Linked DNA regions of Macaca mulatta. The protein of the gene in region 1 purifies or fractionates together with the protein of each later gene. This does not show direct contact. Links are inferred from orthologs where the notes say so. Each region holds a gene or a part of one and is shown in the gene's direction. Other genes may lie near its edges.

Evidence for each region. The genes of interacting proteins can lie anywhere in the genome.
Region 2: the proteins of SRPK2 (region 1) and CLASRP purify together in Homo sapiens (affinity purification with mass spectrometry; 3 studies listed by BioGRID and IntAct, with this or other methods). This does not show direct contact. The link is inferred for Macaca mulatta from reciprocal best matches to the Homo sapiens genes SRPK2 and CLASRP.

The regions. Positions count from the first base shown.
Region 1 is NC_133408.1:144,699,811-144,702,505, reverse strand, and holds the end of SRPK2 (SRSF protein kinase 2), read left to right. Parts: intron 1-511; coding exon 512-696; 3' UTR 697-2,162; downstream 2,163-2,695. UniProt on the Homo sapiens protein: Serine/arginine-rich protein-specific kinase which specifically phosphorylates its substrates at serine residues located in regions rich in arginine/serine dipeptides, known as RS domains and is involved in the phosphorylation of SR splicing factors and the regulation of splicing.
Region 2 is NC_133424.1:57,553,011-57,557,429, forward strand, and holds the start of CLASRP (CLK4-associating serine/arginine rich protein), read left to right. Parts: upstream 1-1,516; 5' UTR 1,517-1,575; intron 1,576-2,614; 5' UTR 2,615-2,677; coding exon 2,678-2,776; intron 2,777-4,419. UniProt on the Homo sapiens protein: Probably functions as an alternative splicing regulator. May regulate the mRNA splicing of genes such as CLK1. May act by regulating members of the CLK kinase family.

The DNA.
Region 1 (2,695 bases):
CAACCAAAGCTGCCTGTAACCCACACTTTTCATACTGCAGCTAGTACAGTTTGTGAAATATAACTTCAAGATTTACAAATTAATGTCCTAGGATCTTAGATTTTACAACAAATGCGTAGACATGAATGGTGTTTGATTTGGGTTGGCCTCAAGTTTGCAAATTTTACGAAAGATCCCAGGTTGAAATGAGAGTGGCTTGCTTCAGCCTTTGGAAAAGAAAACACTCTGGGCAAAGTGAGCCCACTCCACTTACTTAAAGAAACTTAGAACTAATGTGAATGAACTATTAATTAACCTCTATTTACATCCACCAGGCTTACTTGAAATATGCCTTGGTCATATGTGCATGTAATGATTACTGCCTAGCGGGGAAAAGCTGGTGTCCTTTGTTGTTGCCGTGTAAGTGTTGAGCAGGTGGTTGTCCGCTTCATTGAAAAGAGCCTGACTGGACCAACAATGGGGAATGCAGATTTGGAGCTTTCTTGACATTGGCCTGTTTTTCCCCCTATAGGAGAACTGCGACACATCACCAAGCTGAAGCCCTGGAGCCTCTTTGATGTACTTGTGGAAAAGTATGGCTGGCCCCATGAAGATGCTGCACAGTTTACAGATTTCCTGATCCCGATGTTAGAAATGGTTCCAGAAAAACGAGCCTCAGCTGGCGAATGCCTTCGGCATCCTTGGTTGAATTCTTAGCAAATTCTACCAATATTGCATTCTGAGCTAGCAAATGTTCCCAGTACATTGGACCTAAACGGTGACTCTCATTCTTTAACAGGATTACAAGTGAGCTGGCTTCATCCTCAGACCTTTATTTTGCTTTGAGGTACTGTTGTTTGACATTTTGCTTTTTGTGCACTGTGATCCTGGGGAAGGGTAGTCTTTCGTCTTCAGCTAAGTAGTTTACTGACCATTTTCTTCTGGAAACAATAACATGTCTCTAAGCATTGTTTCTTGTGTTGTGTGACATTCAAATGTCCTTTTTTTGAATGAAAAATACTTTCCCTTTGTGTTTTGGCAGGTTTTGTAACTATTTATGAAGAAATATTTTAGCTGAGTACTATATAATTTACAATCTTAAGAAATTATCAAGTTGGAACCAAGAAATAGCAAGGAAATGTACAATTTTATCTTCTGGCAAAGGGACATCATTCCTGTATTATAGTGTATGTAAATGCACCCTGTAAATGTTACTTTCCATTAAATATGGGAGGGGGACTCAAATTTCAGAAAAGCTACCAAGTCTTGAGTGCTTTGTAGCCTATGTTGCATGTAGCAGACTTTAACTGCTCCAAGGAGTTGTACAAACTTTTCATTCCATAACAGTCTTTTCACATTGGATTTTAAACAAAGTGGCTCTGGGTTGTAAGATGTCATTCTCTATATGGCACTTTAAAGGAAGAAAATATATGCTTCTCATTCTAAAATATGCATTATAATTTAGCAGTCCCATTTGTATTTTTGCATATTTTTAAAAGTACTTTTAAAGAAGAGCAATTTCCCTTTAAAAATGTGATGGCTCAGTACCATGTCATGTTGCCTCCTCTGGGCGCTGTAAGTTAAGCTCTACATAGATTAAATTGGAAAAGAGAAACGTGTTCATTGTGTGGAATGAAAAAATACGTATATTTTTTGAAAAGCATGATCATGCTTGTCTAGAACACAAGGTGTGGTATATACAATTTGCAGTGCAGTGGGCAGAATACTCCTCACAGCTCAAAGGTAACAGTGATCACATTCATTCCATAGGTAGCTTTACGTGTGGCTACAACAAATTTTACTAGCTTTTTCATTGTCTTTCCATAAAATGAAGTTGAGAAAATGATTTTCCCTTTGCAGGTTGCACACAGTTTTGTTTATGCATTTCCTTAAAATTAATTGTAGACTCCAGGACACAAACCATAGTAGGCAATACAATTTTAGAATGTAATATATAGAGGTATATTTAGCCTCTTTTAGACGTCAGTGGATTGAATGTCTTTTTATTTTAAATTTTACATTCATTAAGGTGCCTCGTTTTTGACTTTGTCCATTAACATTTATCCATATGCCTTTGCAATAACTAGATTGTGAAAAGCTAACAAGTGTTGTAACAATAATCCATTGTTTGAGGTGCTTGCAGTTGTCTTAAAAATTAAAGTGTTTCGGTTTTTTTTTTTCCAGACATTGCCTTGGTCATTGCCCTATAAATGATAGAATCAGTGAACATTTGCTATCAGAGTAGTGTCACTAAAACTAAATACCAGCATTCCTGTTGCAGCAGATGTAGTTGTAAAACATGCATTAAGGCTTATTATAAGGAAATCATTTATTATTTTTTAAGGGCAGAAGGGATTTAGGAGAAAAGCTATAGTATAGATTGATTCTTTAGAATTTCAGTGATCTCTTTTCATCCATGGTTCATCAAAAACATACTGACTGCATTTGTTCGATCATTGCAAACTTAAAACAGCATTTGCTGTTAGGAAACAAGACACATAACCCTCTTAGGAATTACCATTACATCTCATACCACAGTGAGGCAGAATGGATCATTCATTCATTTCTTTATGAAATGTGCATGCTAAGTTTTTCTAATGAGGCTGTAGGTTTCCATGTAAATTCTGTGATAGATAGTGGCTGTAGACTGGTGATACTATCCATGATTTCTGTAAGAAACATCCTTACAAGAACCATAGAGCACAATTTATTTCTT
Region 2 (4,419 bases), on another chromosome or scaffold:
TGAAGGTGGGGGGTAGGTTGGTTGTTCAGAGTCTTCCCAATAAAGATGAGTTTTTGAGCCTCGGGAGTTTCGTCTATTCTGCGCTTGGGAAACGCCCTAGTTCCTTACGTAGCAAAGAAAGCCTCCTGGCTGGGGGCTCAGGCCTGTCATCCCAGCACTTTGGGAGGCCAAGGCGGGAGGATCGCTTGAGCTCACGAGTTTGAGATCAGCCTGGGCAACAAGACGAAACCTAGTCTCTACAAAAAATACTAAAATTAGCCGGGCATGGTGGCGCATGCCTGTAGTCCCAGCTACTCGGGAGGCTGAGGTGGGAGAATCGCTTGAACCCAGGAGGCAAAGGTTGCAGTGAGCCTAGATCGCGCCACTCTAGCCTGGGCGACAAAGACAGACTCCGTCTCAGAAAAAAAAATAAAATAAAAAAGATAAAAAGATGGCTGTAACATTCTAGTTTATGCCCTGAAAAGGGGAATATAGTCATTCTATAGTGTTTGGAGATTTTGGGTTACCCTTAATTGTATGCAAGTTGTCTTACTGTGTATTGTCCCTTAATTTCAGGACTCAGATTTCATGCTTGAAGAAATGCAGGTTAGTTTAAACTTTCAAGGAAATTTTTTTTTTTTTTTGAGATGGAGTCTGGCTCTGTCGCCCAGGCTGGAGTGCAGTGGCTGGATCTCAGCTCACTGCAAGCTCCGCCTCCCGGGTTTACGCCATTCTCCTGCCTCAGCCTCCCGAGTAGCTGGGACTACAGGCGCCCGCCACCTCGCCCAGCTAGTTTTTTTGTATTTTTTAGTAGAGACGGGGTTTCACCGTGTTTGCCAGGATGGTCTCGATCTCCTGACCTCGTGATCCACCCGTCTCGGCCTCCCAAAGTGCTGGGATTACAGGCTTGAGCCACCGCGCCCGGCCTTAAGGAAATTTTTAAGGTGGCAAAAGGTTTTAGTGGCATATACATCTTAATCTCTAGATGGGAGTGATTAGCTGTTTAAAAGTTGAAATGTGACTGAAAAGGAAATGGAGTAGGGCAAATTTTAAATGGGATTATTTTTCATCTTCAAACAGGCAGACCTGTTATCCTAAACTAGGGTTTTTAATGACCACAGCAAGCAAGCATGCAGCTTACCGCTTGAAAGACAGGGTCTTTCCTCACCCAAGCTGGAGTGCAGTGGCCCTCTGAAGCTTACTACAGCCTCAGACGTCTGGGCTCAAGTGATCCTCAGCCTCCCAATGGTCTTTGTAGACAGCCTGATGGAGTCTCATGGCACAAGAAGATTAAAACAGTGTCTCCAATTTTAATAAATTTTTGCAATCCAAAAAAAATAATAAATAAAAATAAAAATAAATAAATAAAATTAAAAAAGATAAAAAGATAAAGCATCCAAGCTCTTCCCTTCTCGGTTCTACCGCTTCTTCCTCTGACCCCGCCCCTCTCAACCCTAGGACCCGCCCCTCACGTCGGCGGAACTGCGCTGTGCAGAGCTCCACCACGCTCCGCCCCCTCTCCCTAGCGCGGCCTTTCATTTCCGCTTCCTGTGCGGGCAGCGCGCGAGCGCAGCTTTGGGAGGCGGAGACCAGCCGGTGAGTGCAGGCGGCGGGCTCGACCTCCCGGTTTTCGGGCAGGCGTCAGCCCAGCTTCTCCCTTTCCTTAGGCTTTTCCCATACTGCTGTAGGCTTCTGCTGCGTCCCGGCCCCGAGGATCGCTCGTCCCTCACCCCATTCGGCCTGACGGGCCTCAGGCCGCGCCCGTGCCCCGGCTGTGGGCCAGAAGTTGCCGCGTCGGACTCGGCCTTCGGCCAACAGCTTATCACAGTCCCCGCCCCCATGTCAAAAAAAAAACCCAAAAAAACAATCCAGCCCAAATCCTCAGGCCGCGACGCGATCCACAAGCCCTGTCCAAACCTTCGGTCTCCTCCCTTTCCCACAAGCCCTGCCCCCAAGCTCAGCCCACGCCCTCCCGTCAGCCAACTCCGCCTCTCTCAAGCTCTACCCTCTTTTTCCTTGGGTACTCTCCACACCCTGCCATCTAGATCCCATCTTTAGACCTCAACTTCACTCTGGTCTCCTTGCAACACTCTCTTCCCGTGTTCCTACTCCCTCTAGCATCTTCATTTTCCGCCACGCCCTTCACCTGTCCTCGACCTCCACCTTCATGCAACTGCACTGTTCCCTTAAAGGCTTTCTCCGATTTCCTCCACCTGCCTTCATCCTTACCTTCCTTATCCCTCTAGCACCCAGACTCATACCCACGCATGGCCCCTAGTGGGAGCCTTTTCAGCTCTTCTCTTTCCCTTGAGCTCCAGCCTTAGGTGCTCAGGGTTTGCCGTCTGACCCTACTTCAAACTACTGACCCTACTGATGTTTCAAAACTTTCATCCCCGACTCCAGCGCATGGAATGTAGGACACCCCTTTCCCAGGGATGCTCACCTCAGAATCACCTAAGGGTTTTTTAGAATGCCCAAGTTGCCAGATCGAAGTTGTTAGGGATGGACTTGAACATCTGGCATACCGTTCTGCAGCTTCACTTCTGCTCCCTGAAGCTAAGCGATGTGTTGTTTGGGATCGACTCTGTCACCAACTTGTTAGATGACTTTGATTCTGCCCATATGGTTTTCACAGCCCATCTGCCTTTCCTGGTCCCTTCATCCCTCAGGTTGAGGCCCCAGGCTCGGCCTCACCACAATGTGGCACGAGGCTCGGAAGCATGAGCGGAAACTTCGAGGCATGATGGTCGACTACAAGAAGAGGGCGGAGCGGAGACGGGAGTATTATGAAAAGATCGTGAGTAACTGGCCTTTCGTCTGGGGTGGGGGACCCTAGTTTGGGGGACACAGGTCATCCTGGTAAAATCTGGGCTTGGAAGTATGTCAAGACAAGAGGCTTATTTCCTCAGGAGTATATTCATTAATCTTTTCTTGAGCATAATCATTGTTAGGATCCCAAGAGCTTCTGTTTGTTGTAACATACTGTGTCGTTTGGTGTGGCCTCCCAGTGCCGATCTGGTGTTAGCAAGAAAAAGGGAAGTCTCTGTAATCCTCAGAGCAGTCCTGACGTTAGACTGGCCACCTCCAGAACGTTGTCTGTTTTGCTTGTTGCTGGGTTCCCCATTCCCAGAAGAGCTCAGCCACTCTTGAGGTTTGGCTTGGCACACAATAGGAGTGAGTATTAAGTTGGCTGGGCACGGTGGCTCACACCTGTAATCCCAGCACTTTGGGAGGCCGAGGTGGGCAGATCACCTGAGGTCACGAGTTCGAGACCAGCCTGGCAAAAATGGTGAAATCCCGTCTCTACTAAAGATACATAAATTAGCCAGGCTTAGTGGTGTGTGCATGTAGTCCTAGCTACTCGGGAGGCTGAGGCACGAGAATTGCTTAGCCTGGGAGGGGGAAGCTGCAGTGCACGGAGATGGCCCCACTGCACTCCAGCCTGGGTGACAGAGCTAGATTCTGTCTCAAAAAAAAGGAAAAAAAAAAAAGGAGTGAATATTAAGTGAAACCTGACCACTTCCCTCTCCTGTTTGATGCTTCAGTTGTTTTGGGGGGAAGACCAAACTATCCCTGGCCTAAAAGACCCTTGTGGTCTGACCACTGAGCTTCATCCTTGGACAGCTCCACTGGCCTTCTATTTCTGCCACCACGGGGCTTTGGCCTGTATTACCCCCTCCTCACCTGTTTAACTCCTCTGTCTCCTTGGGATCCCAGCTTGAAATGGCACCTGTTTACTAGGTTCAGTTTTCCTGTCAGATGACATTTATATAGACATTTTCCATTTGCTCCTGTATTACTGCCCCAGCCTCCTCTCTGGTCCGCTGGCCTCCAGTCCTGGCTCCTCCAGTCTATCCTCCCTAGAAGAGTCCAAGAGGCCTTTCTAAAGCGCAAAACTGACCCTGTCCCTTTCTTGCTCACAGCACCTCTATGGCTTCTAAGTACCCTTGAGAGAAAGCCTAGGCTCCTCACTGTGGCCTTTAGGGTCCTGCATGGCCTGGTCTTTGCCCCTCCTCCAGACTCACACCACCCCACACTCTGCCTTGTTCCTTTGCACAAGTCATTTTGGCCTCCTTGCTATTCCTCCACTGACCCAAGCACTCCCCAGCCACAGGACCTTTGTATGAGCTCTTCCCATACCTGGTTAACTACTGCTCATCTGTCAGATCTCAGTCCTCAGAGCAGTCTTGTTTCCCGAGCTCAGTCAGGTGTCCTCTAAAGATGCCGTAATCGTAGCTCCCTTTCCTTCCCCTTTGTGGAATTTAACACACTTAAGATACACATACATGGGCCTGGTGTGGAGGCTCATGCCTGTAATCCCAGCATTTTGGAAGGCCGAGGTGGGTGGATCACCTCAGGTCAAGAGTTTGAGACCAGCCTGGGCTAACATGGTGAAACCTCGTCTCTACTAAAAATACAAAAATTAGCCAGGCGTGGTGG